Ovis aries: one gene and its partner. The protein of the gene in region 2 purifies or fractionates together with the protein of the main gene of each other region. This does not show direct contact. Links are inferred from orthologs where the notes say so. Each region holds a gene or a part of one and is shown on either strand. Other genes may lie near its edges. The genes, in order: RASA1 and PDGFRB.

Region 1 (15,954 bases), about 25 Mb from region 2:
ACCTGCCTCTTGAGAAATCTGTATGCAGGTCAAGAAGCAACAGTTAGAACAGAACATGGAACAATGGACTGGTTCCAAATTGGGAAAGGAGTAGGTCAAGGCTGTATATTGTCACCCTGCTTATTTAACTTATATGCATAGTACATCATGAGAAACGCTGGGCTGGAAGAAGCACAAGCTGAAATCAAGATTGCCGGGAGAAATATCAATAACCTCAGATATGCAGATGACACCACCCTTATGGCAGAAAGTGAAGAGGATCTAAAGAACCTCTTGATGAAAGTGAAAGAGTGAAAACACTGGCTTAAAACTCAACATTCAAACAATTAAGATTATGGCATCCGGTCCCATCACTTCATGGCAAAGAGATGGGGAAACAACGGAAACTGTAACAGAATTTATTTTCTTGGGCTCCAAAATCACTGCAGATAGTGACTGCAGCCATGAAATTAAAAGATGCTTGCTCCTAATCTTCAGAAAGAAGAATGGAACTAGAGGAATCAGGCTGCCTGACTTCAGATTATACTACAAAGCCACAGTCATCAAGACAGTATGGTACTGGCACAAAGACAGAAATATAGATCAATGGAACAAAATTAAAAGCCCAGAGGTAAATCCATGCACCTATGGACACCTTATCTTTGACAAAGGAGGCAAGAATATACAATGGAGAAAAGACAATCTCTTTAAAAACTGGTGTTGGGAAAACTGGTCAACCACTTATAAAAGAATGAAACTAGAACACTTTCTAATGCCGTACACAAAAATAAACTCAAAATGGATTAAAGATCTAAAGTAAGACCAGAAACTATAAAACTCCTAGTGGAAAACATAAGCAGAACACTCTCTGACATAAATCACAGCAGGATCCTCTATGACCCACCTCCTAGAGTAATGGAAATAAAAAGCAAAAATAAACAGTTGGGACCTAATTAAACTTAAAAGCTTTTGCACAACAAAGGAAAACTATAAGCAAGGTGAAAAGACAGCCTTCAGGATGGGAGACAACAATAGCAAATGAAGCAACTGACAAAGAATTAATCTCAAAAATATATGAGCAGCTCATGCAGCTCAACACTAGAAAAATAAATGAGCCTATCAAAAAATGGGCCAAAGAACTAAACAGACATTTCTCCAAAGACGACACACAGATGGCTAACAAACACATGAAAAGATTCTCAACATCACTCATTATCAAAGAAATGCAAATCAAAACCACAATGAGGTACCATCTCACACCAGTCAGAATGGCTGCTATCAGAAAGTCTACAAACAATAAATGCTGGAAAGGGTGTGGAGAAAAGGGAACCCTCTTACACTGTTGGGAATGCAAACTAGTACAGCCACTACAGAGAACAGTGTGGAGATTCCTTAAAAAACTGGAAATAGAACTGCCTTATGACCCAGCAATCCCACTGCTGGACATACACACTGAGGAAACCAGAACTGAAAGATACATGTGTACCCCAATGTTCACTGCAGCACTGTGTACCATAGCTAGGACATGGAAGCAACCTATATGTCCATCAAAGATGAATGGATAAGAAAGCTGTGGTACATATACACAATGGAATATTACTCAGCTATCAAAAAGAATGCATTTGAATCAATTCTAATGAGATGGATGAAACTGGAGCCTATTATACAGAGTGGAGTAAGTCAGAAAGACAAACACCAATACACTATATTAACACATACATATATATATGGAATTTACAAAGAAGGTAACAATGACCCTATATGTGAGACAGCAAAAGAGACACAGATGTAAAGAACAGACTTTTGGACTCTGCGGGAGAAGGCAAGGGTGAAATGATTTGAGAGAATAGCATTGAAACATGTATATTACCATATGGGAAACAGATAACCAATCCAAGTTCAATGCATGAAACAGGGCACTCAAAGCCAGTGTACTGGGACAACTCTGAGTGATGGGATGGGGACGGATGTCGGAGGGGGGTTCAGGATGGGGGTCACATGTACACCCATGGCTGATTCATGTCAATGTATGGCAAAAACCACTACAATATTGTAAAGCAATTAGCCTCCAATTAAAATAAACAAATTAAAAAAAAAGTTTGCTCCTTGGAAGAAAAGCTATGACAAAACGAAACAGCATATTAAAAAGCAGAAACATAACTTTGCCCACAAAGGTCTGTCTAGCCAAGGCTATTGTTTTCCCAGTAGTCACGTACAGATGTGAGATATGGACCATAAGGAAAGCTGAGCGCCAAAAAACTGATGCTTTTGATCCATGTTGTTGAAGAAGATTCTTGAAAGTCCCTTGGACTGCAAGGAGATCCAACCAGTCCATCCTAAAGGAAATCAGTTCTGAATATTCATTGGAAGGACTGATGCTGAAGCTGAAACTCCAACACTCTGGCCACCTGATTCGAAGAACTGACTCACTGAAAAAGACCCTGATGCTGGGAAAGATTGAAGGTAGGAGGCGAAAAGGACGACAGAGGATGAGATGATTGGATGGCATCACCAACTCGGACATGAGTTTCAGCAAGCTCTGGGAGTTGGTGATGGAGAGGGAAGTCTCATATACTGCAGTCCATGAGGTTGGTCGCAAAGAGGCGGACATGACTGAGTGACTGAACTGAGGACACACACTTTACTCAAGGTTAAAAAATTTTCTTCATTAATTTGTAATTCTTTTTTACCTGACAGAATCATTAGGCAAAGGTTATAGGAATCAGTTACCTCTTGTTCAGAATAAATTAAGCAGCACTGAAAACACACCTGCTATTTTTCCTCTAAAACCTTACTGATTCTAATTATACAGATATTATTTTAACCCCCATGACCATGTGCTCATACTTTACTCATGATATTTATCTTCAGCTATTGAAGTTACTTAATTTTCTGAAAGTGAAAGTTGCTCAATAGTATCTGACCCTTTGCGACCCCATGGCATATACAGTCCACGGAATTCTCCAGGCCAGAACACTGGAATGGGTAGCCTTTCCCTTCTCCAGTGGCTCTTCCCAACCCAGGAATCCAACCAGGGTCTCCTGCATTGCAGGCAAATTCTTTACCAACTGAGCTAAGAGGGATGCCCATTTAACTTTCTCCTAGATCGAAAACTCTCTTGGAAGAGAGACTCATGAAGAAAAGGAGTATCTTACTCATTGCTGTCTCTCTTAAATTAAGCCCCTACTACACTGCTCTCCTACTCAGATAAATATCTGGTCATGTTCAGGTTCTGTGGTCACTATGTCCACACCTAATCTCTGCAATTCTCACTCCCGCTTTTATTAAGAAATTATGACTCACCCAGAGTTATAATGCAATCAATGACGAAGTTGATGAACACTATGTCTTAGTACTAACATTTAACAATGATTTGACTTAAGAATAATTTATATTTTTATACAAACAGTATGATGATTTTTAAGGAAACGAAAGGTATTATTTACATTCCTTATTTCTTTTTTCTTCCACCTTCAGGCTTGAGAAAACTTGCATCTTAGGTCCAGGGTAAGATCTAGTTAGCCAGACACCACACAAATAATATCAAAGGCGAAGCAGGCCTGGTGGAGGCCACAGTTAACTGCAGAGCTCAGAACTTAAGTCGGGCAATCACTACTCAGCTACAGAAAACTATTCTCAAGCACTAACAGCAACCAGGTAAAGCCAAGTCTCAAGTGATGCTAGAAATCAAGACTTCTTAAACATGAAGTTTTGCTGTTTTTAAAAGTGGCAACTAATCCACTCAATGCTCCAAATACACTAAGAGCAAGCAATGTGTATCTCTCAACTGGATTCAGCCCAAGACGCTCCTGCTACTGCAGGCTCATAGTTTAAAATCTCTATACATAACAGAAGGTGGACTAGAGGAACTATACTACTTTACTGTCACCCCTCTGAGGAAGAAAGTAAGAGAAGAGGAGGACCACGGAAAAAAGCTCCATTACAGTAAACGAAGTATCAGTGAAAAACTCCTTTAACTTTTCTCTCTTGGGAAAAAAAAATATATATTAGCTGTTTTAGGTACAGGACATTTTCTACATAAAAAATGTATGCAGAAAATATTTTTCTTTTAAAAATTTTTTCCTAAATTTTGCAAAAAAAAGTATTTAAATAAATGTAATAGTTACAATTATACAAACTTAAACTTCTGGCCTTAACCAAATGAATGAAAACGCTCAGTGATAAACATGAGGCTAATGATTCACCATGCACACAGAGAAACAAGATACAAAATAATAGTGTTATTATATTTGCACTAGTGTATCTACATATTGTCACTTGATTCTTTTGTGACCAACAGCACCGAACAACCTGGACACACTGTTGAAACTCTGTGACTCGGGAGCCCTAGTCTATCTAACAAACCACTGCGAACTCGAACCTCCTTAATACCATGTAATCAATAACTAAAGTGACCAGTCACTGGTAATCATATTAATTTAGCCAAAAAAAATTCTTCAATACTTTAATGAAAGGTTTGACATTATTTAACTAAGTCTCTAAGGCTTTTCCGTTTATTTAAAATTAGGAATTTAGAGAAAACATTTGAATTCCATCTCTAAACCTGCTTCACCTGCTGAAAGCCTTTATAAAGTTAAAATAAAAATTTTGATATAATTAATCATGGTAGACAGACCCGTGGAATTCAAAACATTCTCTCAAATAGCTATTAGCATGGGAGTTCCTATAGAATTGACAAGCAATTTAATGATAAAATTATGTACTATTTGAGCCAATTTACTGAACACTTACTACGTATGAGTTACTGTGCTGAATACATTCAGGGATTTCTCATTAACCTTAAAAAGTATCATATGAGGGCGATAGCATTATTACCCCATTTTACAGATGGGGAACCTGACCTTTGCAAGATCATACAGCTAGTAAGTAGCAGAGTCAGGATTCCAACCCAAATCTTGTCTAACTTCAGATTTTGCACCTTAACCCCTACACTGTATTGCCTCCAGTAAGTCTGGGTTGATATCTAAGATAAAGAAGAGAGGGAAATTTGTACTTCTCGTTGGCAACTTTTAAAAACTATAGTGAAATGGAGGATACTTTTTAGAACATGAACAATTCTCATATACAGAGTTACACAAATAATATTTTTATTCCCAAACACAAATGATGAAAATCTTACAATGGATTTCTCACAAGAATAATTTTTCTTAGGTTCTCATTTATATTTATTAAAAATTTAATTGGAACACTGTGTTTTCTGTTCACTTCTACGGTGAACCTAAAACTGCTCTAACAAATAAATTCTATTTTTAAAAAAATTTAGAACTGCAACACACTAAATATGCCTTATTCAATTTAGTTAAGAACTAACATAAGACTATATTCTTTCATTATGAAAAGCTGAACTTTATCATAACCACAGGGCCCTTAATACTTAAGTAGTTTTGAAAAAGGCTTGAAGATGTGTAAACAGAGCTGTAAATTTTGAATTTTTAATACTTTCAGAACACCTTCAGAGAAGTCTGCAATATGTAGATAAGAAATGATAAGCAGAAATTAAATTAGACAAAAAATTGAACTCATGATGAACAATATAAAAAGAATAAAACTCCCCTGTCCCATGGCTGACATAAGATTAACTTTACTTTTCCATCAAAAGATGTATGTAGCCTTAAGTCAAAAATGCCCTAATTTGTTAAGTCCTTTCTAAATTTTCTAAAGAAGCTTATCCAAAAAAAGAAAAGAAAAAAAAAAAACAGACACAAAAAACACCTTCAACTGTCTAGAGTGATGGTCAACACAGGAATCAAATCTTTCTTCCTCTGATACCTCACCAAGGTTGTCAAAATTCTAAAGGACAATTAAGACAGATATGAGGGATCTATAAAACAAGTTTTGCCTACTGCCCATCAACATGTTCCTCTCAAGATCCAAACCTAAGTTCACTTATGAAGAGAACAAGGGAGAAAGTACTATATATATATGTAAGTCATTTGTCCTGTATATTCTGCAGAAGACTGTCAAAATTAATTTTCAAATAGAATACTGTATTTGCCACCAACAAAAGGTGAAGGGAAGCACAATATTAATTCTAGTTCAATACTGTACTTACAAAGTTTCAACTTACAGAAGAATTATACTAGCATATTAGTAAACGGGAATTCTACTGCACATGTTAAATACTGTGGGAGTACAGGCCCTTAACCACACCAGTAATTAACAGAACTTTCCTTTCTCGCTGACCCACGTTCTCAAAAGCAATCCAAAGTCTTTTCTGCATCGCAGTGCTTTCAACAGCCAGAAGCCGGGAATTGCAGGGCAACAAAAACAAAGCAATCCGACCAAGGCACGTTTCAAACAATACTACCACGATATTCACTCAAATATTCAAAGCTTCTCACTAATTGTCTAGCTTCAACAGGGAATGCAACCAGGTTAATACAGACTACGACTGCCTCGGTAGCTGCAAACTCAGCTGAATCCCAGGACGCCACCTCAATCTGCAAGGGACAGAACCATATCCGGTTCTCCCTGGATACACATTTTCCCATGCTTCCCATCTTGAAAACTTTACATCTTCCCAGAGGAGCAATAAATATACCAAGACGCCAGGGAGTGTGCCTGTAGGGAGGATGAGTGATCAAATTAAATCCGTACGCACGGAACCTTGAGCTTCAGAACTTTTTCTGAACGAGTCACAGCTGAAAACACGAGTCACAGCTGAAAGCACTACGAGTCACAGCTGAAAAGAACTAGACCTGTTTTTCCTATTTCTTTCCAAGGAGTCAGCTTCCCCCAAAACGCCGGTCTTGACTTACTGGTTAGTCGGAGGAGCGGTCAGCGGGATGGCCACCTCTTCCTCCTCGTATTCTGGTCCATCCAGAGAGTCACCTTCGTCCACTGTTCCCAGGCCAGCGCCCAAAGGGGGCAACTGAGGAGGAGGCGGCGGCAGAGGAGGGAATCCGCCGCCGGCCCCGAAGGTCTCAGTGGGCAACGAAGTGGTCCCTTTGGCTTCAGCCATCTCCCCGCCGGGTCCGGCGGCGGCGGCGGCGGCGGCGGCGGCGACACCAGCCACGCCGGCGGCAGCGCCTCCGGCTGACAGTCCGGCTCCCCCCGGGGCCCCCGCCACAGACCCAGGTCCCAGGAAGCCTGACCCCAGAGCGGCTCCGCCACCCAGAGTCGCGGCCACGCCGGCCTCCGCCAGCCCAGGAAAGGGGGCGGCGGCGGCCACGGGCAGGGCCGCGGGGATCTTCACCCGACACACCGCCGGGTAGGCACCCGAGGCCGCGGCCGCGCCGCCTCCCGCTGCCCCGGCGGTGACCGGGCCGCCCTCCTCACCGCCGGCCTCGGCCGCCATCATGTTGAAGCCCGCTTTACGCGGCCCTACCCTGCCCGCCCGGGAGCCCCCAGGGGCCACCAGGCCCGGGCTCCGAGCCGCCCCACCCAGGCGCGTCCCCTCTTCAGCTCCCCGGGCGGAGGAAACAACAACAAAAGGAGAGAGCCCGCTGCCGCCGCGCCCCCTCTCCGGGCCACAGCCCAGGTTCGGGAGCTCCCCGGGTTACGGGAAGAGAAGTGGGCAAAAAACCCCAACGCCTGCACAAACGCCGCCCAAACCTTCACCTTCCACACCCACACTCGCGCGCGCGCGCACACTCACACACACACACACATGCACAGAAGCGAAAAACTTCCTGGCTGCACTAAAGAGGAAGGGAAGCGAGGCGGGGGGGAAAGCGGCTTGAGGCGGCTGCTGCTCCCTCAGCCGCCGCCGCCGCCACCGCTTCTTCACCACCCCAGTTCCGGCCACCCCCACCGCAACCACCGCCGGTGCCGCTGCAGGGGCTGGGGCCACTGCGGCCGCCTCATCCTCCACCGGGCTGAGGCGGGAGGGGTGGGGAGAAAAAGAGGAAGGGGGGCGGGGTAGCGGGGAAATCAACCTAAAGGCTCCCAACCTGGAGCGCTAAGTGACATCGACGAGAGAAAGGAAGGCGGGGCGCGGGAGGAGGGGCGGAGGGAAGGAAGGGCGGGGAAGGAGGGGCGAGAGGGCAGCTTCTGCGCAGGCGCACTCCCCGCGCGGAGGCGGTGGGTTGGGGTGGGGGTGTGGCGTGCTGGGTCTGGAGGAGGGAAAGGAAGACTCTGGAGGGAAGGAAGCGGCGGGGACGCGCGGTGTGCGGCAGCGCTCGCTGTCCCGAGCCGAGGGGAGCGCGTGGAGGCGCGGCCAAGCTAGCAGTCCCGAGCCAGTGGGGAAGCGCGTGGCGGCGCGGCCGCCTCGCCGGTCGGTGTGGCCGGTGGCGCGCGCCTGCCTGACTGGGCTTTGTCTGAGAGACGGGTTAGGCGGCGGAGGGGAGGAGTGGGTCCCCGGCACGCGGCCGCTCAGCGGGGTAAAAACCTGTGAGCGACGAGGAGGGTTTCTTGAAGAGGGAGGGAAAGAGAAGGGGAGATGAGGCAAAGCCAGTTCCTCGCTTCCCGACCGGTAGAGCGGACGCCGTGGCCGGCGGCGCAGAAACCCGACGGCCGAGGCCCGCGGGGGTGGCAGTTGGAGGGGTACCTGCCTGGAGGTCCGAGAGAGTCCTGTTAGTGTTTCCGTTCTCTTTTCATTATATAAATGACTATATGACTATTTCAAGCTAAAAAAAATAAAATGAAAATTTTTTTAATAGATTCTAAGACTCATGCGAAGAGTTCACTCATTGGAAAAGACCCTGATGCTGGGAGGGATTGGGGGCAAGAGGAGAAGGAGACGACAGAGGATGAGATGGCTGGATGGCATCACCGGCTCGATGGACAAGAGTTTGGGTTAACTCCGTAGTTGGTGATAGACAGGGAGGCCTGGCGTGCTGCGATTCATGGGGGTCGCAAAGAGTCAGACACGACTGAGCAGCTGAACTGAAGACTCAGAACGAAATGGATAACTGGGGAGACATATGGGGAGGGCTAAGAATTTTAGAAGAAACAGTGGTTGTGAGTCGGATTTCTGTGACTGTACGCGTTTTGTTGTCTTCTCCGACTCTCTCTGTATTCTATTTTTCTTTCTTTTCCCTTTCTTTCACACCCACATACACTACCTTTGCCACTGCAAGTCTGTTGGGTATAATAAGGTGTGGAGAGGAGAGGTCCCCAGACAACGCTAATCTGCACTTTTTTGCGCAAAACACAAAACACGTCAGGGCACACTCCACGGTACACGTGTGGTACAGAGCAGTTTCAACCAGCAAATGTCAAGGAGGAGCCAACGCGTCAGTTACAATTATGTATCCTCAAAAATAATAAATGAAATTTCACCCTTTACATATCCAGAGACAGTGGGTTTTGGTTTTTATAGTGGAATATGTATAAAAGTGTGCTCCCCTGGTAGCTCAGTTGTAAAGAATCCGCTTGCAATGACAGAGACGGAGGTTCGATCGCTGGTTGGGGAAGATCCGGAGAAGAAAACTGCAACCTATTCCAGTGTTTTTGTCTGGGAGGAGGGAAGAACACGTGGACATCACATGGACAGAAGAACCTGGCCGGGTACAGTCCATGGAGTCGCAAAAGAGTGGGACACAACTGAGCATCTCAACAACAAATGTGTAAAGGTAGGTGGGGAGGAATCATTTCCTTTCTTTTTTTTTGAAATTCCAGTATCTGTGATTAGACCTTTTGGATTCATATATATTGCTTTTATTTTACATTATCCTAGGAGGAATTTCACATTAAATAGACATTTAATATTGATCTTTGAGATTAATATTTTCTCTACTAAGGGTAATAGTGAAATCCACAAGAAGCACATTGAGGATGGAAAGGGGCTGTGTAACAAGAGGCCAAGGAAAAAAGGAAAAGACAATTGAAGGAGGTGGCAGGGTGCACACAAGATGTTTTTCTTTAGAAATGTCTATTTCCATAAGCCTGGTTGCCAAATCAATGACAATGCAATTAGTGGTAGTCCTAAGGACTCCTTCATTCTTGCCTCTTAAGGCAGTAGAGAGAGTGAAGGACTGACTAATCACAGTAATAATCTCAGACCAGCAATATCCCAGGAACTTGTTAGACATGCAAATTCTTAGACCCCCACCGCAGACCCTCTTGAATCAGAAAAATGGAGTACTCTTGTTTTAATGAATTCTCCAAATTTGCACATTTATGTTTAAGAACCAATACAATATGCTAAACAAGAAAAAGGTATGCAACACCATTGTTGGCCTCTGAACATAAGATGTTGGACTGGCAGGTAATCACCAGCTCTGGGTTAACACACAGCATATTTATTCTGCCTGAGATTCCAGGTCAGACTCACTAATTTGCAGAATTACATCCATTCCCTTTTCTGGAAATTCTTTAGCATCTAAAGGTCAATATTTAATGCAGTCCAACTCCAATTACATACCGACGTATACTATTTTGTAGTTCCTACACTGCAGACACAACTTGTAGTCTAACCTACTGCCTAACCTAATGCTAGGCATCTTTGTCAATTGCTTTGAACAGGTTTCCATTCTTTTTAAAAATACTAAATTAGATCAGCTCCTATCGTTAGACATCAGTTGCTCAACCAGTGGGAGAGATCTACTCTGTCTGTATATATCAACCTAATACCACTGTCTTACATTATATTCAGCCTTAGAGAACTGTTGTCCTTTCCATCTAAAGAGATTACCACACATTTCTGATGAGATGTTTTCAAATGTTTTACACATTCTGTTTATTGGATGGGTCTAGGCCTTGATCCTTATTATTCTTTGTGTACTCCCTTTGTGTACTCTCTTCTGTCTTCAGTGACTTATTTTTTTCCAAAAAAGGCTAAATGTTTTGCCTTCTTTATTTTTTTTCTATTGCCTTTTTTCTTTTTCTATTCACCTTGACCTCTCCATCTTTCATTTATAGTCTCTACAGTCTAATTTTTTTCTGCTAATTTCTCCCTCAATTTCTACCTCTGTGCTTCCCTTTCCTTTTCTTCCAAGTCCCTGAATTTCCTGACATAGATAATGTACTCCTTGAAGTTTCATAAATCAAAAACTGAAGAACATTTTTTTTTTAATGAAATATTTATTTGGAGAGAGGCATTACAAGGTTTCTGCAGGGACTGATGTTAGGTGTGGTGTTATGTAACATTAGTTAACAAAGGGAAGTAAACAGTCTGCTAATTAAATTCACAGATAATATTAAACAGGGAGGCACTGAAAAACTGAACAATATACAAAAAGAGGAAAATTCCAAATAGCTTTTACTCTTAGTAAAACAATCTTTGATATCTGTTATTTGAGAAAAGTTACTCCAGATATAGAATTAAACAGCATTTCATGAAGAATAAATAATAGATGGCAAATAGATGGGGGGGAAATGGAAACAGTAACAGATTTTCTTGAGTTCCAAAATCAATGGAAATGGTGACTGCAGCCATGAAATTCAGAGACTCTTGCTCCTTGGAAGGAAAGCTATGATGAACCTAGACAGAGTATTAAGCAGCACAGATATCTCTTTGCTGACAAAAGTCTGTATAGTCAAAGTTATGGCTTTTTAGTAGTCATGTATGGATGTGCGAGTTGGACCATACAGAAGGCTGAGCACTGAAGAATCGATGCTTTTGAACTGTGACTGGAGAAGACTTGAGAGTCCCTTAGACAGCAAGGAGATCCAATCAGTCAATCCTAAAGAAAATCAACCCTGAATATTCATTGGAAGGACTGATGCTGAAACAAGCTCTGATACTCTGGCCACTTAATGCGAAGAGCAAACGCATTGGAAAAGACCCTGATGTTCAGAAAGATTTGAGGGCAAGAGCAGAAGAAGGTGACAGAGGATGAGATGGCTGGATGGCATCACTGACTCAATGGACATGAGTTTGAGCAAGCTCTGGGAGATGGTGAAGGACAGGAAAGCCTGGCATGCTGTAGTTATGGGTTCCCAGAGTCATACATGACTTAGCAACTGAGCAACAACAACAAATAATCAGAAATGCTGGGCAAAGACTTATGGGTAAAAAGAATCTGAACACTTAATTTTCTAAAAAATGATTTTGACTCATTCTGATTTTACTGGTAACTCAAATATGAATAGAATACACTCTTAAAATATGTTACAGATTTGATGCTTCAATATGTGAAAAGATAACTGACTCAGTAATACAATTTTAGAGAACATTTCTGAGGGGAATACTAAGCAAGAAGTGATAAAGAGCATAATTGTGTTTCATGCCCTAGTACACACTCAGCTAAACAAATAGGCTTCCAAGTTTCTGTAAATAATGTCAAAAGGTTTCATTGACCTCAAAATTTCACTCCTAACCTCTAATGTCCTTAGTGCATTTGTTGACCTCATCTTAAAATTTTCAAGAGCAGAAATTTCCTTACTAGGAAGACCTTTAAGCAAATAACGTTGAGGAGATACAGGTTAATGGAAATTATTTTGATGAAAAAGTAAAAATAGCTCTTCAGAGATTACAGTATGTGATATAATAATTAACTAAGCTTGAAGAAAATTATAAACACCATGGAGAAATTTTAAAATAGTACAAACTGAGGCTGTAAAACTTTAAAGAAAATTATTAGAGCCCTCTTAAAACATTTAAGCTTATATATGGTTAAAGGTGGAGCTTCCCTGGTAGCTCAGCTGGTAAAGAATCCACCTTCAAAGCAGGAGATCCCAGTTCAATTCCTGGGTCGAGAAGATCCCTTGAAGAAGGGATAGGCTAACCACTCTAGTATTCTGGCCAGGAGAATTCCATGGACTGTATAGTTCAAGGGGTCGCAGAGAGTCAGACAGGATTGAGCGACTTTCACTTTCACTTTTCAAGGTTAAAGGTACTTAGATCAATTGGATTGAGAATAAATATCCCTTCTCTTGAAAGAGTAGAAAAATGTATTCACTTTTTATTTGTTTTTTTATCTTTTGGTCTTTCATTATTCTATATCAGAAATTTTTCTCCTGCATCATTTCTAGTTTGTTTTTCTTTATCTACTAGATTCCTCTGTGTTTCCTTTCTGCACCTGGGTTCCTTTACATGATAATGCGTTATGCTAGAAGTAAAAGAAAAAAGGAAGCGGAATGCTTTTAGGGCAAGGGAACGGGGGACTCAGGGTGGTGTGAGGCTCCAGTTCACATTTTCCTCATGATTAACTGCTATTCTGTGCCTCTGTGACAGCAATTTAACTACTACCTGGAACACCTGAAACCGTTTAAATACCACCTGAAACAGAGTCATGGAATCGAGCTAACCTTTGGCCTTTCACCTACGAATTTTACTGCTGCTCCTGCTGCTGCTGCTGCTAAGTTGCTTCAGTCGTGTCCAACTCTGTGCGACCCCATAGATGGCAGCCCACCAGGCTCCCCTGTACCTGGGATTCTCCAGGCAGGAACACTGGAGTGGGTTGCCATTTCCTTCTCCAATGCATGAAAGTGAAAAGTGAAAGTGAAGTCGCTCAGTCATGTCCGACTCTTAGCGACCCCATGGACTGCAGCCTACCAGGCTCCTCCATCCATGGGATTTTCCAGGCAAGAGTACTGGAGTGGGGTGCCATAGAATTTTGCAGAGTCTCTTAATTCTGGTTGCTTTCTTGGATTTACTGGAGAAGCTCCCAGTAACCCAATTCTCTCTAAATTTAGTACATCAAATACGTAAGCCCTTTTAATAGGCTTCAAAATAACTATACAATGAAAGGGTTTGATAGCACTTTGAGATAATTATAGATAAAATAAGGTGAGAGTTTTAAGTACTTCAGAAGAAGTTGTGGATGATGAAACTTAACCTAACTAAAACTATCTTACTAAGATATTTCTAACTATTTTTCTTAATACATGTTTTTGAAGAACTCAATTTCACTTGTTATCTTAAACTTTTTAATATTTTAACTTTCTCTTTATCTAATTGTGAAATAACAATGAAATATAACACATAGTATATATAGCAGCAGTAACTTCTAGTTTTCTAGACTTTACAGAATACTAAAGCATCAACAAAAAACTACTGAATTATGAATTTTGTGAAGTGGGGAATATCTTGTTACTATTAACAACAATTTTCTACAACTGTTTCATAAAAAGAAAAGACATTTCAGGTCAGAAATAGTAAAAAGGGAGATCATGGATTAGGGGACAGGGAGAGAGGAAGGAAGGGGAAGAGGGAAAAAACAGAAGAATCAATATCAGGGAAAAAAATCTTTTGACTCACATAAATTTAGCTTCATGAAATGTGCAGAGTATGTATTATGTCCTTTTTCCATTTTTCCATGGATTTTTAAAAATTGGTCCTAATTTGGGTTTCCCCAGAAGCAGACACTGAAACTAGGACTTGAGTGTTAAAGTGTTTCTTTGGGAGGACATCCTGGGAAATTTCAATAGGAGAGTAGAGAAGGGAAGGAAATTAATAGAGAATGTATTAATGAGCTGGTTACTGCTAAAAGCAACTGGGGCTAAGTTCTACCATGGAGGTCTGGCTGATCGCACAGAGCCCCCAGGAGGAGGCACACCTGAGGGACACAGAAACTGCGGTTTTTATTCTTCAACTCCCGCTTATCCTTGGCTGAGGGCAGCTTCTGAAAACATCTCCAGACTGCCCAATGTACAGCCTGAGCATCTCCCCTGGCCGGAGAAAGCCCTCAGGCAGAGGGTAACTAGCATTAGCAGTGACAGGCCACTGCTTCCGTAGAATAGGTGGATGCCAAGAGGGTAGGGTTTGACACTGGCAGTTCTACTACAGCAGGGTTTGAGAACCCCTGTGATGAAGAATGTATTTCTGTTAAATATAGAGATGTTATTTGTTACACTTGAACCACGTTATATTTAATTTATCCTATCCTATGACCTAACTAAGGCTATTTAGCACAAATGGCTAAGAAGCTTGCTGCGGCTGCTAAGTTGCTTCAGTCGTGTCCGACTCTGTGCGACCCAGAGACAGCAGTCCACCAGGCTCCCCAGTCCCTGAGGTTCTCCAGGCAAGAACACTGGAGTGGGTTGCCATTTCCTTCTCCAATGCATGAAAGTGAAAAGTGAAAGTGAAGTCGCTCAGTCGTGTCCGACTCCTAGCGACCCCATGGACTGCAGCCTACCAGGCTCCTCTGTCCATGAGATTTTCCAGGCAAGAGTACTGGAGTGGGTTGCCATTGCCTTCTCCACTAAGAAGCTTAATCAGTGTTAATCATGGTATGACTGGGATGAGAACTCATCGTTTCCCAGTCATGTGTATTATTAATGGAGCATTTCTGGCCAGAGGGAGTGATTTTTTTTTTTTTAGAACTATTTATTGCTTGATTCCAAATATATTTTCTGTCATTTTTTTTTAACATGTATTTTCAGCTAAATGATAGAATAGAAGCAAAAGTGATTATGCACGGGACATAAAATAGATTAGTATAAGTGAAAGTGTGACCTAAATCAAATCCCTTATGATTATACTTTGGAAGTTACAAATAGATTCAAGGAATTAGATCTGATAGAGTGCCAGAAGAACTACGGACAGAGATTTGTAACATTGTACAGGAGGTGGTGATCAAAACCATTCCCAAAGAGAAGAAATGCAAGAAGGCAAAACGGCTGTCTGAGGAGACCTTAGTAACAGCTGAGAAAAGAAGAGAAATGAAAGGCAAAAAAGAAAAGGAAAGATATACCCATCTGAATGCAGGGTTCCAAAGAATAGCAAGGAGAGATAAGAAAGCCTTCCTTCGTGAAAAACGCAAAGAAATAGAGGGAAGCAATAGAATGGGAAAGACTAGAGATCTCTAAAAGGAAATTAGAGATGCAAGGGAATATTTCATGCAAAGAGGGGCACAATTAAAGAACAGAAATGGTATGGACCTAACAGAAACAGAAGATATTAAGAAGATGGTGACAACAATACACAGAACTATACAAAAAGAAAGTCTTAATGACCTGGATAACCACTATGGTGTGATCACTCACCTAGAGCCAGATATTCTGGAGTGTGAAGTGAAGTGGGCTTTAGGAAGCACTATGACAAACAAAGCTAGTGGAGGTGATGGAATTCTAGCTGAGCTATTTCAGGTCCTAAAAGATGATGATGTAAAAGTGCTGCACCCAATA
Region 2 (15,210 bases):
AGAGGCTGAGAGGGTACGGAGAACCTGTGCTCCCCTCTCAGGGAGAGGTTTTCCAGGGACTAAAGAGGGACCAGAAAGTAGGCAGGACTTAGGTGAGACCAGGAAGGACCGCAAAGCACTGTGATTTTAGGAGCCTTCATGGGAGAAACACCTACGTCCAGGGTGGCTTGAGGGATGTCTAACCTGACCTCAGAGAGCATGCATGTTGAGATTCTTCATGAGTCAGCAGCTGAGAGATCATCTCTTTCCCAGGACGCACGCTGGGCTCCGGGGCCTTTGGGCAGGTGGTGGAGGCCACAGCTCATGGCCTGAGCCATTCTCAGGCTACCATGAAAGTGGCCGTGAAGATGCTGAAATGTGAGTCCTGGGAGCCCGCCCCTCCCTCCCCTCACCCCCAACTCCCCCGCACATTCAGGCACTCCCAGAGCAGGCCTTGTGCTGATTCTCAGGGTGCAGAAGTACAGGCATACCACAGCCAGCAGCACTCCCAATTCTCCTTTGGTAAAGAGGCTTCCTCACCCTGCCCCCTCCTCCAGGAGCCTCCCCGCCCACCCTTTTTCCTTTCTCCTGCCCGTGGGTCCTCACCACCCTTGACCACCTGGGTCTAACAGCACAGACTGGGGCAGAGGAGCCAGAATAGGCTCCAGTGAGGCCTCCGTGACTGGGCCAGGCCTGAGGTCCTCTCTCTCCCTCAGCCACAGCCCGCAGCAGTGAGAAGCAAGCCCTCATGTCGGAGCTGAAGATCATGAGTCACCTTGGGCCCCACCTGAACGTGGTGAACCTGCTGGGGGCCTGCACTAAAGGAGGTACAACCCCCTCCCAGAGGACTCTGGGAAAGTGCCAGTGGCCAAGGCCTGGCCCCTCCCTGCCCCCTCCTCAGTCCAAGGACAACAGGACATTCTCACTGGAGGGCCCGTGCCTACCCAGTCCAGTGCCCTCACTTCACAGAGCCAGACGTGTGTCGGATTAGCAAGTCACAAAACCACATCACCTCTAAGACCAAAGCACTCCCCAGGTCACCATTCCTAGCAGTTTCCAAATCAAGGAGCCCTCTGACGTTTAAAGCTTGTTGCAGTCGATTTTAAAAAGGGTGATACGTAACAGCTCATGAGACACTGAAACGAGCCCTTCCTCTGGAGACCACCAACCGGCTTGCTCACTGAGAGCTGCTTTCACTCGGATCGTAGAATAAGTAAGGTCTCTCCAGCTGAGTGTGTTTATTTGAAACTCTGATTACACGTTAGGCCACACAAAAAAAGTTATCACTACTTTCAGCTGCTTATTGTGAGATTTGGGATTTTCCTCAGTATTGTGCAACCAAAACAAAATACAGAAGTACACTATGTGCGTAGACTAATTTTTGTCTGCAGTGGTCACACATTTCAAAATGTTTGATTCCACCAGTATCTTCAAACTGCCAAGTCAATGCATTGTGCTTGAATTTAAACAGTAACCTGGTAATAATCAGTTGCCTTTGCTTTATATCCTGGGCTCAAATTTCAGCTTCATCAACAACAGCTAGCCCTATGCTTGCAGTTTGCCAAGCACTGAGCTGAGCTAACCAAAGGCATTATCTCATGAATACTCATGAGGTACTTTGGGGTGGGTATTACTAGCCCCATTTGACAGATGAGGATAGTAAGGCTCAGGGAGACTGCCTTGCTCACAGCCAGGAAAATCCAGGTTTGCCTGGGGCCTGAGCCTGTTTGCTGTTCCACATGCAGCCTGTCGTTAGCCTCATGGCTCTGACCGGAAGCCTGAGCCCACCCCGACCCCCTGCCCTGGGACTCTTCCTGAGCCTGTCCTTCTGCAGGGCCCATCTACATCATCACCGAGTACTGCCGTTATGGCGACCTGGTGGACTACCTGCACCGCAACAAGCACACCTTCCTGCAGCGCTGCTCGGACAAGCGCCGCCCGCCCAGCGCCGAGCTCTACAGCAACGCCCTGCCTGTCGGGCTCCCTTTGCCTAGGTACCGCAGGGAGGCTGGGGCCTGAGTTGGTGGGGAGCCCTGAGGAGCACCTGCTTACCCCTCCTTGTCCAGGACAGGAAGTTGAGGCCAGGGTGGGTGGAGCCGCTCCTAGAGCCAGCCTGCAGCCTGGCCCCCTCGGCCACCCTAGAGGTGGGCATGATAATAACAGTGGTGATGATGGTAGCTGCCACCTGCTGGTTGTAGGAGGTGTGCCAGGCCCTGTACTGAGCACTCTGCAGGTGTGATCCCCTTCGACCTCTCACCAAACACACATCATGGTCTCTCCATCAACGGGAAACACCTGGGGCCCTCCTGCTCCCGGTTGACCCTCACTGTAGCTCCACTCTGCTCCTCCCTTGCTGCAGCCTCCCCCCTCTTCCACACAGCAGTCTCTCCAGTGCCTCCAGGGTAGCTATACTCTCTCCTCTGCTTGTCCAAAAATGACATTTCTTTTCTCTCTTGCTCATTGCAAAAGCAATACTAGTCTATTTCAGAGGCAAGAGTCAGTTAAGAATAGCATTAAAAGATGTTAAAATTCATCCATGTTCTCTTCAACATTTTGATTGGTTTCCTTCCAGTGTTTTTTCTCCCCCTAGAGACACATGTATACTTTGTCCCACAGCTCTCTGGGGAGCTGATGCTGTAGGCAGAGGCATTAAGGTGATTCACTGCTCACTTGCAGGGCCTCATGGCTGGACAGCGTCCTTCCTGTGACCCTTGTCTTTGGGTACTGGAATCGCCCTGGGCATGAGTTCTCTGAGGACACAACCTAGATCTTATCGTCATCTTGGCAGCCCCAGTGCCCAGCTCAGGATGGGTCTGAGGTTGGCTGGAAGGGCTGACTACATGGTCGTTCATATTGTGACAAATTGTGAGTGGAGGATGCGTGAGTGAGGGAGAGAAGAAATGCATAAGTGATGGGGCCTTTCTGGCCCCAGTGTTGAGCAAAGGGGCAGGAGGGGGATGGACGGGGAGAGCCTGTGCTACTGTCTCTGTGATGCTCCTCTGCCCCCAGCCACGTGTCACTGCCTGGGGAGAGCGATGGTGGCTACATGGACATGAGCAAGGACGAGTCGGTGGACTATGTGCCCATGCTGGACATGAAAGGAGATGTCAAATACGCAGACATCGAGTCCTCCAACTACATGGCTCCTTATGATAACTACGTCCCCTCTGGTGGGTGCACACAGGGTCCTCACACCTGTGTTGTCATACATTCTTTCCAAACCCTTTCCTCCACCCAGTCTGGCAACAACCCTGCCAGGAAGGTGGCCTTGTGCCCATTTCATAGATGCAGAAACTGAGGCCTGCCACCTGCCCAAAGCTGCTGTGTGGTGGAACCCCAATATCAACCCCTGTTTTTGGGTCAAGAAATGTACACACAGCCTTCAGGGAGGAGAGGAGCTTGGATTGGAGGGGAAGCCTGACCTGCTGGGGCCTCAGGAAACAGTGGTCTGCTCAGAGCAGGCCCCAGGCTGACTAGTGCCCTGAGGAGCAGGCAGGCCAGGCTGAGCAAAAGTGGCCCAGGGCTAATGCCAAAAGTTTTTTCTGGAAGTTGGAGAATTTAAGAGATATTTGGAAATTGTTTTCCTTTTGGGGCAGCCTTAGAGGATCAGGAGTCTCCTCTCTGGGCCATCCAGCCTCTACGAGCCAGAGGCCAGGGTTCTGCGGCCCTGGGGAGACTCAAAATGTCCTTCTGCTCTTCTCTAGCTCCTGAGAGGACTTGCCGGGTGACTTTGATCAACGAGTCCCCAGTGCTTAGCTACACGGATCTTGTGGGCTTCAGCTACCAGGTGGCCAATGGCATGGAGTTCCTGGCCTCTAAGAATGTATGTGTAGTCACAGTGAGCAGAGTGGGGTCCTGGGGAGGGGGGTCCCCCAACCAGCCAGAGTCCTCCAAGTACGTGACCCGTACAGCGTCCCTCTGGTGGCTGAAGATGGCCAATGCCCCACACCTGGTGGCCCCTCATACCTGACCAGCCATGTATTTTTCATAAAGCCCTTGACCTGGAGAGCCTTTCCCCACAATTGCCCCACAGTCTCAGCTCCCATCCCCTCTGTCCCCAGTGCGTCCACCGAGACCTGGCAGCCAGGAACGTGCTCATCTGTGAGGGCAAGCTGGTCAAGATCTGCGACTTTGGCCTGGCTCGTGACATCATGCGGGACTCGAACTACATCTCCAAGGGCAGCGTGAGTGCCTCCACTGCCATCCTGGTTCACGTGGCTTTGGCTCACGGGAAGTCAGGACAGGGTCCTCATGGGCTCTGCCTGCCTGGCCCTGTGTGTAGGGACAGGAAGGGGAGCCACCAGCTGTGCATGGGGAGGGGGTGGGGGTGACAAGCCCAGGCCTGTAGGGTGGGCCAAGGGCTCAGATTTTCTGGGCATGGCAGAGGCCAAGGGGCCAGCTATAAAGGTTCTGGGGGAATGGATAGGGAGCAGGCCAAATGTGCTTCTCAGCAGTGATGGCAGGCAGAGGAAGAAGCCCAGATGAGTGAGTGGCAGGTGGTACTCGGATAAAAGGTGACCATCCTGCCTCGCACTCATGTCCCCACTTTCCACACAGGGACAGAACTGGAGGGACACTAGGCTCCAGAGATGGAAGGCAGCTAGGATGAGAGCTGGGGGACACCTGGGCACATCCCTGCCTCCCCCCGCAGGGGCCTCTGCTGCAGTCAGGAAAGGGATAGGGGTTGCTGTGTCCCCAGCTTGTGAGAAGAGAAACTCAGCCTCCTGATCCTCTGACTAACCAGCTTTGGGATGGGTGTGGGAACCGTGTATCGGCAGTGATGGGCCGTGGGGGACCAGGAAGTGAGAAACAGCTGAGGTGGGGACTGCCGGGCCTCCTCCTGCCTCCCAGGTGCAGAGTGGGGCTCAGCCCCTCCTTGCACTCAGCAGCCTCTGCCCTCCCACAGACCTTCCTGCCTCTGAAGTGGATGGCCCCTGAGAGCATCTTCAACAGCCTCTACACTACCCTGAGTGACGTATGGTCCTTCGGCATCCTGCTCTGGGAGATCTTCACGCTGGGTATGCTCCCGTCATGCTCCAGTGCTCACCCGTACACAGCACAGCGTCCACCCTGAGCGCCCACACCTCCATCCTAGGGGGGCAGTGGGACAGGACTCAGAAGCTCTGCTCTTTTCTTGTTACTGTGTAACCTCGGCAAGTGTCTTGCCAGCTGGATCTCCTTACCTCTGCATCTCAGTATAGATGGACTTGGACAGTGACGTCAGTAAGCCTGGCTCTGGTGCTCTCTGTTCTGATTCCGGGGAGGGATTCAGTCTGTGTCCAGGGCCTGTGAGGGAGCCCACATTTCCCAGCGCCACGATGCCCTCACTGATGCCTGGGCTGGTGTTCCTCTCCCTGTCCTGTAAGAGAGGGTTTCTGCCACTTTCCAGCACCTTGAGCCTGTGTCTCTTGTCTCTGCTCCCTAACAGGTGGCACCCCATACCCAGAGCTGCCCATGAACGAGCAGTTCTACAATGCCATCAAGAGGGGCTACCGCATGGCCCAGCCTGCCCATGCCTCTGACGAAATGTGAGTGGAGCATCTGGGAAGATATTTGGGGGTGCAGACAATACATATCCAACTTTACCAGCTTAAGACAAAAATAGATTAGCTCAGAGATGTAGAAAAATTAGGTTTAGACAGACCCAGTTGTTCACAGACATCATCCACATCTCTTGCTCTCCCCTGGGGCTCTGTTCTCCTTCATGTTGGCCTTACTTTCAGGCTGGCACCATCCAAATGGTTTTGGCCTGGCTGCTTTCACCATAGTTGCAGCAGAAGGCCCAGCAGTGGCTGTCAAGGGCTCTGCTGGGGTCACAGGCCCATCTAGAACCAGCCACTGAGCTGAGGGGATGAACCCCTACTGGCTAGACCCAGTCGTGTGCTCACCAAGGTGCGGCCAACCCCATGGAAGCACTGAACTGAAGGTGAAGGAGGGGCTTCTCAAGGGAACATGCCAGAGCAGTAAAGGGGAGACCCCTTCCCTCCTCCCCTCCCACCTCTTTTTATTTATTCCTCACTTTGTCCTGGGAGGCGGCAGGCCCTGAGCCAGAGGCCCTGACCCCTCTGCCCCTTTCCCCAGCTACGAGATCATGCAGAAGTGCTGGGAAGAGAAGTTCGAGATCCGGCCCCCCTTCTCCCAGCTGGTGCTGCTTCTCGAGAGACTGCTGGGTGAGGGCTACAAAAAGGTATGCTGAGACAGGGGGGTGGGGGGGGGGTGTGGGGCTGGGGACTGGAGAGCACCAGTCCAGAAATAGACACAGGGTACAAGGCTCACTGTGACGCACTGGTGTTTGGGGACAATCCTTTCCCCTCTCTGGGCCTGTTTCCCTGTTGGTGCCAATAAGGGATGTGAGTGTAGTTTATTTTAGCAGTACAGAATTTCATAAAGTGAAATCCTACTTGGAAGCTGATTAATTTAAACTGGAGGCAGGGGCCTATAGCCCCCTCATCCTGCATCCTTCCACTTGCCTTTGCAACCAGACCAAACCCTGGGCCTCCGTCCCAAGTCTGAACAACCCCGGTGCAATGGCTACTAAGGGCCTGACTGCCTAGACCCCGTGGCAGGCTCGTACATGGCAGCTGTTGCCAGCGGGGCCTTAAAACCCTCCCCTGCCCCACTGCAAAGCTAGTGCGAGGGGGATGCATGTACCCTTTGTCCAGACACAGCCCTTTCCCTCAGTCCATTCCTCAGCCCACTCCGAGCCACATCTGGTTATGTGTCCAGGACCAGGGGTGAGGGAAACAGGCCCCAGCAAAGGAGGCTGTGGCAGGCAGAGAGCCCATGCCTGTCCCCTGAAGCAGGGGAGAGTTAGGGTCACGGGTGCTGGTCTGAGTACTGACCCCTCCCCAGGTGACCCTCAGCTCACCTTGTCTGGTGAGAGGCCAGGGAGGAGGGTAAATTAGTGGCTTTGGGCAACTCTCCTTCCTTTCTGAGCACCAGGGACCTTATTTACATAATGCTGGAGGGGCTGGCTCAGAATCTACCTGTTAGATGATCCCTAAAGTCATTTCTGGTCTGACCCTCCCTTTGTCTCGAATTCTTCCTGCCCCCTGAGCAGAAGTACCAGCAGGTGGATGAGGAGTTTCTGAGGAGCGACCACCCAGCCATCCTTCGGTCCCAAGCCCGCTTGCCTGGCTTCAGTGGCCTCCGATCTCCTCTGGACACCAGCTCCGTCCTCTATACTGCTGTGCAGCCCAACGAGGGGGACAATGACTACATCATCCCCCTACCTGACCCCAAACCCGAGGTTGCTGATGAGGGCCCACTGGAGGGTTCCCCCAGCCTTGCCAGGTAGCTATTCCTACTTGCAGCCCAAAGCAGTAGTGTACATACTGTGTGTGTGCACACGTGTGTGTGTGTGTCTTTGTATGTGTGTGTGTGTCATTCTGTATCTTCATGCCATCAGACTTGGCTTAGCAGTGAATTACCTCAGCTGAGTACTTATTCCTGCCAATTGAATAGCAAAAAGAATGGAACTCATTTGACCTTTGATGACCTTAGGTGGAAATGGCAGGCTGGTAAGAGAAAGAATGGCCTGGGACACATTTGCAAAGTATCTGTTTGGTTTAAAGGAACCTCCACAGCCATCTACTCTGTCCCCTCTCTCGGCTGTGACTTAGCCCTAAGGAGAGAAAAGGAAAATCTAATTTGCATCCCTAACACCACATGTATTATTCTGTGGTGATCCCCAACCCTGTGATCTGGCCTTCAGCACCATGCGCTGAGGACCCCAGGGAGCATGGAACAGGGAGACAGAGGTGTCTACAGAAGTTCAGGCCAAAATTCAGACTGGGGAGAAGGTTCATGCTTTTCTTTTGCCTTGGGATGTGAAGTTACAGCATGAGGGGAGGGTTTTGGAGGAAGGCCAGCTATCGCCTGGGCTAGATGTTCCGCATGTGGCCAGACCTACACCCAAAACAAGATCCACCCTGTGGCGAAATGGCTGGGGCTGCAAACTGGGTTCCAGCTGTATCTCTGCCACTCGCTGCAATGAGACCCGGCCAGGTACCTTTGCTGTGAGCCCATCTCTCTACATGTACTAGGAGCACACACAGGACTTAGAAGGCCCTCCCCACCCTGTTTGAGAAGCTAATATTCCAAGGCTCCAAGCAGCCAGTGTACAGAGGAGTTCAGCTGAGTTCAGACAGCTTGGAGTGTGAATGCTGGGGCTGCTCTGAGCCTTCAGACCAGCTGCTTCTCCTCTCTGAACCTCAGATGCCTCGTCTGCAAAATGAAAACAGTAGGAGTACTTCAATTTGGAGGTTGTTATGGGGACTGAACGAGGTCATTATGCGTTCAGGCATGTGGGAGATGGAGACTGATGAGTGAGCAATGGACTTTGGAGTCAGCTAGATCTGCTCTAAGTCCCCACTCCTATACTTAGCCACTGTGTGATGCAGGGCAATGACATAACCTCTCTGAGCTGCACTTTCCTCACGACGCCTGCCTCGCGTAATCTCTACAAGAATTTTAGTGAGCTAAAGTGTGTAAGGCACATGCAGCCAGCTCAGGTAGATAGAAGGCTCTATGTTAATGCTGTTCTTTCTCTGAGGTTCCCTCCAGCCTCTTACTCACTCGCCCTCCCCGCCTCTAGCTCCACCCTGAATGAAGTCAACACCTCCTCTACCATCTCCTGTGACAGCCCTCTGGAACCCCAAGAGGAGCCAGAGCCAGAGCTGCAGCCCACCTCCCACGTGGATCCAGAGCCCAAGTGGCCACCGGATTCCAGCTGCCCCGGGCCTCGGGCCGAGGCGGAGGACAGCTTCCTGTAGGGGCTGGCCCCCACCCTGCACTGCCCTACCCGAAGCTCCCCTCTACCTCCCAGCACCCTGCACCGCCTGGCCGGGCCTGGCCTCCCATCAGCCAGGCTGCTCCTGTCGGCTGTCCCTTTCCAGAAGGCTTCTGCCCCTGGCACATCATACCCAATCCCTGGGGCTGGCTTAGGAGGCGAGAGAACTGGAGGAGCCGTGACCAGTCCTCTGCCTCTGGAGCACCCATGTGACTCTGAGCCAGGGTTCTCCCAGGGGACTCTGTTTCCCCATCTGTAAGATGGGAATGATGGGCTTGGCAACCCATAGTCTGGGATTCTCACCCTGCCTGACAGATGTGGTGGATGGAACTCTCAAGTTTCGTGAAGTGGTGGATTAACTCTTTTCTGTTCAGCCAGCTGCCTCTCAAGGAGCTGCAGCTCTCTCCTTGCACTTTTTTCTCCAAGAGCTGGGGAAGGGACCCTAGCATCTCCGGCTCCTGGCCAAGCTAGGGCCTGGCCTTGGACAATGTTGCCTCATCCAGAAGCCACCTGCCCTCAGTGCCAGTCTTTGCTTTCCCAGGCCCAAGCTGGTCTGGGGCCTTCTGTGCTTAATTAATGCTGGGGGCTGAGCCAAGTACAGGATACCCTGGCCTGTAGCCCCAGGCCCAGGCACTTAGGGTGCACCTCCCCATAACATGCCATGTCCATGTCTTCCTGGCCCCATGGGTCCAGGGATCTCCTTTCTTATCACTGCCAGTCTTACTCCACTCACCAGAGTCTCCAGGGCCAGATGAGCCCCACATCTCTGATGCATGTGTTGACATGCTTGCAACAGGTGCCTGCACGTGTGGACCAGTATGGCACTGGACCTGCTAAGAGACCTTGGAGGATTCCTTCACCCTCTCTGGGGCTGTTTTCCCTGTTGAAAAATGAGCAATTGGACTCACTGACTTCTGGTACCCTGCCAGCACTAACATTCTAGAGTATTCCAGGGGTTGTACACTTGCCCAGATGAAGCAAAGATAAACACTCCACACCTCTATCCTGGGATCAGCTGGGACCTGGAGAGGCTCCAATCACACATCGCACACTTCCGGGCATTCAGGAACTGGGCCCCTTCCCCAGTCCCCCGGCAGGTCCCAGAGGGCAGCTGCCCAGGCCTTGGCTCTGAGTGATAGCCATGGTCCTGGAAAGCCCCCAGAAGCTGCCCAGAAGGGATGAGGGGGAGACCATGGGATCCCTTTCATGACCCACATGGCCTCTGGCTGGAGCTGTCCTGGGCAAAGGAAGCAGGCAGCAAATCAGAGTGCCTGGCGCAGCCCGCCACTCCAGCACCTGCTGTCCAGGGCTGTGCCGCAGACCTGACGGGCAGTGAAAGGACAAGATGCCTTGGAGGGGGTACCCGAGGAGGGGGTGCAAGGGGTGGGTACTTGGGGGTTGCCTTCCCGCCTTCCAGCTGCCGCAGCCTGAGGAAGGAACTGTGAAGATGGCTTTGTCTGCCCAGGGGTGCTCACCTCATGCCTCTGTCAGCCCAGTGGGCAGTGGTGGGGCCTAGGCAGTGAGGGCTGTGGCCAGGACCACTGGCAGGGGAAGGGCTGGATGGGGTGGGGGTGGGTGGGTGAGGGAAGGTCAGTGACTCTGGGAACCAGCCAGCCTCCTGTGTCGGTTGGCACCTCCCTGCCCTGGGACCCCCAAAGCCTGGTCAAGGAGAGGGTATGGGTTCTCACTACGGTACCAAAGATGTAATCACCTAGGTTTACAAGTATTTTTAGGACTCACGTTAACACACATTTATATGACAGAAGTGCTATTTTGTACGCCATCAAATTTTCCTCCCTGTGTACTTTTTTAAGAGAAAGATTTTAATATTAAACCTGGTGCTTCTCACTCACAGACTTTGTGGTATCCCACAGGTGTGGGTCCCTGGGCCCAGGAGGAGGCAGGAGTAGGGTGGGGCAGCTGGGCTCACCCAGCCGTAGGATCCCCACATGACCCCTCAGCTCAAGCCCACTCCCATTTGTGAGATGGGGTTTTTCACACTCCCACCCACCACTCCCTGGTAGTTGGGGGACCTGGACCTCAGGCTTTGGTTTTCCAAGTTGTGGAAGAAGAAGGCTTTTCTGGCACCATAGTGCTTGGTTCTGGGTGGGGGCCCTGAGTCCCACTGCCACCCCCACCCTACCCAGCCATGTGCTTTGGCTTTGGCCATTAAGCCAGCCACCCTCCCTGCAGCCTGTGGCCCAGATCCAAGCTGGTGTGGCTCATAAGAAGCATTCGCTACAGCCCAGATCCCAGGCCCTGGTGACTGGTGGTCAGGTCTCAGGTACGGGCAGGGAGACAGACGGTGTGCCCGAGAGGGCAGAGAGGAGGAAGGAAAGAGGAGAAGAAGCAGCAAGGAAGATGTGGGTGAGTGTGGCCACAGCACGGCCAGGGGAGGGAAGCAGGGGCCTAGCTGTGGCTCCGAGAGCAGAGTCTGCCAGGCTGGGAGAGGGGTGCAGACTCACCCCTCATGGCTGTGGCAGCTTAGTGGTGTGTGGGGCTGTTGTGAGCCAGGCGTCTTGGTGTCCACTGGCCAGCTCAGTACTGACTGTAGGCTCTAAGCAGAGCCCAGGTACAGACAGCCCTGTCTGGGAGACGCGGCAGCAGAATGGGGCCAGGGCAATAGAGCTGCCGGGACAGAGGGCAGAGCACACAGATCCTGGCCCTCCTGCCTGTGTCCTTTGGGACGGGTCACCTGAGGGGCAGCAGGGTTCTGCCTGAGACCTGTCACACCTCACTGTGTGGCCTTGGCCATTCCTTGCTCTCTCTGAGCTGGGGATGGGGCATCCCAGTTTGCTTCTGGGGACTAGCACATCCTTTTGGAACCACAGGCCTCCCTGGACTGCCTCCAGAAGTCTGGGGCCGTGGCTGCCAGTGGGGAGAGGAACAGAGACATGAGGCAGCTCTGACTCACCAGCCCAGCCGCCAACTCAGGGGCAGCTGAGCCATCCCCAGGGAAACCCCGCTGCCTCACCTCCCCTGCTGCAGGGCCTGGGGGTCCTGGCCTTGGAGCCCATGACCCCATCTCCCCTGGCTGTGGTAGGAGATGAATAAGCCACACCAGGATCTGCCCTGTAAAGAGAATAATCAGCCACATTCCAGATGGGGATTATCCTTGTCTTTGGGAAAGCCTCCATCTGGTCAGGGGACCTTGATCCCTTCACCTCAGGCCTGCTCCTTATGGGGTCTTGGGTGGGTTAGACCAGAAGTAGATGCAGCTAAGACACCACAGAGAGAAGGGAGGAAGACAGTGCTGGTGCCGCTTACTGAAGCGTTCCTCTGTGCCAGGGATGTCCTGTTGCTGCACACATCTTCCCGTTTGCCTTCACATCCACCCTGTGAACCTAGGGCTGCTTCTGTCCCCATATTACAAAGGGGATACCAGTTCAGGAGAGGTTGTGGTGACTTGCCCACGGTTGTCAGGTTGGTACAGCAGGGAGGTGATGGGCGCCTGGGCCAGGCCGAACCCCAGGTCAGCTCTCAGGAGGGCAAAGGGAAGCTTGGGTCCCAGCCCCTGTCTCCTGACTCCAGACCTCTGGGGCTGTGAGTCCCCAAGAGAAAGTGCTGGGGGGAAGAAAGGAGCTAAGAGACTCTGAGGGCTAGGTGTATGTAATAAACAAGCATCTGATGGGCTGGGAGCCCACACACCCCTGTGCAGAGGGGATGTGGGAGCGGGAGGATGGGGGAAACTGTAGCTCCTGTGGCTCTCCCATCCCCACCACTCAGACGGGCCCATGGGAACTGGTGAGCTGGAATTTTCCTCCCAGACGATGAGCCACTTGACTATACAATTCTTCCACCACCCTATTCACAGCCAGGGTCCTTGTTCCTGGAAAAAGAGAGAAAGACTGAAAGCTTTTGCTTCCAGGGCCCTGACCCTCAGCTGACAAGGGGTCCCACAGCACCCATTAATGCTCCCTCTTTGAATTAGAGCCCTGTCTCCACAAGCTCTCTTCTATTTCAGTTTCTCATTCAGCTTCATAAACATTTAAAATTGCTTTCATAGATGCAATTATATAATATATGCCTGCATTAACAAGTATCCATTAGCAGATGTATGACAGAAAGAGACCCATGAGACCATGGCTGTCTCGGTCCCTCATCATTTAGAGTGGGTTCCTCTCTGTAAGCCGATGTGATGTTCACAATAAAGCTAGGCAACAAGCCAAGGGAAGACCCAGATGAAAAAGCTAAGGCTCAGAGCCATGAAGTGCTGGTCCAAGGTCACATTGGGAGGCTCATTCCTGCCAGTCTGGTGTCTTTGCTATTGCCTTCCTCAGGGAGATTTGGAGTCCAGTTTCTGGATGCAGAGGGGATAGCAGGCTGAGAAGCCATTGGATCAGGTTGCCAGCTGCCCATTCAGGGAGAGGGTCTTGGAATTCCCTGAGTCGGCTCCTCCTTAAAGGGAGCTTCTGGGGCTTTTTTTGGGCTGTGATCGGTTCTCACAGCTCAGAATACCATTAGCCATGACTGCTTTGGAGCCTGATGAAGGGGCCTAGGCCTGGGGCAGGGAGTTGGGCCTTCTCAGGATCCAGCAGGGACTCGGGGACATCACAGAAACCAGACTATCTCCCTGTGGTCCCCTCCAACTGGCTCAGCCTCTGCCCTTCTCTCTGGGCACATTATGGCCTGTGTGTCTGCTCTTTCCAATGGCTTCTTTCCACCTGACAGGGTTGGGGCAGTTCCAGTCTCTTTCTGGTTTAGGGTTTTGTGGGTAATCACTGCGAGGAACTAGAAAGTCACAAACACAGGGAAGTAACAAAGCTTCTGGAAAATCACAGAATTCTCAAGAGTTGTTGTTCCCCTTCTGAAGGTACAAGATGGCAACTTCCATGTCTAAAAATTTTTCTTCTCCATTACTGATCTTCTTGAAGCATACTATGATCTTGTCTCTATTTGCTCAGACACCTTCGATGGCTCCCCATGGCCCAACAAAGTCCAGACATCCTCATGTGGTCGTGAAGTTCCCTCCTGACCTGGCTTCAGCGTCTCTCGCCTCTCCCATGCCTGTGCTCCAAGGCCTGTCTGTCCCTGTGTGGGCCCCAAGCTGTCCAACCTTCCAACAGTGCACAAGAGCTCCCTTCTCTCCACATCCTCGCCAACACTTGCTATTGCTTGTCTTTCTGACAGTAGCCATTCTAACAGCTGCGAGGTGATTTCTCACTGTGGTTTTGATTTGATTTCCCTGATGATTAATGATGTTGTACATCTTTTCATAGGCCTGTTGGTAATTTGCAAAAATGTCCATTCCTCTGTCCGTGTTTTAATTGGATTATTTTGCTGTTGAGTTGAATGATTTCCTTACGTTTGGATATTAACTCCTTAGCCAATACATATAATTTGCAAAGATTTTCTCCCACTTCACAGGTTGCCTATTCATCCTGTTGCCTGTTTCTTGTGCTGTGCAGAAGTCCTGCCTCTTCACCTCTCTGGGTGCTGCCCTCACCACCTAGGACACCCAGCTCTCTATGACTGAAAGGAAAAGTCTTGCTCTAACTTTCAGCCCAGTGCAAAGCCACCTCCTCCAAGAAGCCTTCCCAACACCCAGCTAGAAGTGGTTTCTTTGCCCAGTCCTTTGCTTGTGCCTCTGATGGGCCCTCATCAGTCCACTAATGTCCTATGCTCTCTCATCTCCAGGCCTTTATCATGCTGTCTCTCCTTCCTGGAAAATTCCCACTCCTCTCTGCATCTCTCCCCAGCTCCTTCTCAGTTTAGGCAGACTCTTTCTTGTCCCTTCTGCAGTGGTCCCAGGATGTCTTGCAACTCCACTGCTGTCCTGGTTCGTCTTCACCACTCGGCCATGAGCTCCAAAGGGGAGGAACTATGCCTGCCACGCTTAGCACCATTCCCAGGGCCAAGCAGAGAGTCGGTGCTTGATAAATATTTGTTGGATGCACTTCACCTGCCATTACTGTCTCACTGAATCTGAATTAGTAACACTTCCCTTGTTTTACAGAAGAAAAAAAAAAAAAAAAAAAACCTTAGAGGCCAGGACCTGGCTGTGGTCACACAGCTATGAGTGGGGAATGTGATTCCCAGTCTGTCTGGCTCCAAAAACCAGGCCAGTGCCCCTCTACCCTTGACCTTTCTGAGAGCCCCAGCCGTTGCTGAAGCAGGTAGTTAAACACACGGGCTCTGGGGCTGAGTTCCTCAGTTCAAATCCAGCTCTGCCACATGTCAGCTGTGTGACCCTGAGCAGAACACTTAACATCTCTGAGCCTGTTTTTCCTCATCTATAACAGGGAAGAATTAAACCTATCCCCTTAGATGATTATGAGGATCAGATGAGATGACTTGTACAGAGAGTCTAGTCTGGAGATTCTCACAAAGGAAGTGTCTAATGAACAGAGGACTCAAGATAGCCCCTCTTCGCGTAACTGCTTTACTGTAATTGTTAATGGCATCCCTTTTGGTCTCAAAGGTTCATGTTTGGATGACAA

Evidence for each region.
Region 1: the proteins of PDGFRB (region 2) and RASA1 purify together in Homo sapiens (co-immunoprecipitation; 5 studies listed by BioGRID and IntAct, with this or other methods). This does not show direct contact. The link is inferred for Ovis aries from reciprocal best matches to the Homo sapiens genes PDGFRB and RASA1.

The regions. Positions count from the first base shown.
Region 1 is NC_056058.1:84,544,842-84,560,795, reverse strand, and holds the start of RASA1 (ras GTPase-activating protein 1), read right to left. Parts: upstream 7,496-15,954; 5' UTR 7,301-7,495; coding exon 6,759-7,300; intron 1-6,758. UniProt on the Homo sapiens protein: Inhibitory regulator of the Ras-cyclic AMP pathway. Stimulates the GTPase of normal but not oncogenic Ras p21; this stimulation may be further increased in the presence of NCK1.
Region 2 is NC_056058.1:59,231,666-59,246,875, reverse strand, and holds the end of PDGFRB (platelet-derived growth factor receptor beta), read left to right. Parts: intron 1-252; coding exon 253-357; intron 358-695; coding exon 696-806; intron 807-1,813; coding exon 1,814-1,973; intron 1,974-2,988; coding exon 2,989-3,149; intron 3,150-3,683; coding exon 3,684-3,802; intron 3,803-4,040; coding exon 4,041-4,163; intron 4,164-4,885; coding exon 4,886-4,997; intron 4,998-5,407; coding exon 5,408-5,507; intron 5,508-6,060; coding exon 6,061-6,166; intron 6,167-7,039; coding exon 7,040-7,272; intron 7,273-8,575; coding exon 8,576-8,753; 3' UTR 8,754-10,622; downstream 10,623-15,210. UniProt on the Homo sapiens protein: Tyrosine-protein kinase that acts as a cell-surface receptor for homodimeric PDGFB and PDGFD and for heterodimers formed by PDGFA and PDGFB, and plays an essential role in the regulation of embryonic development, cell proliferation, survival, differentiation, chemotaxis and migration.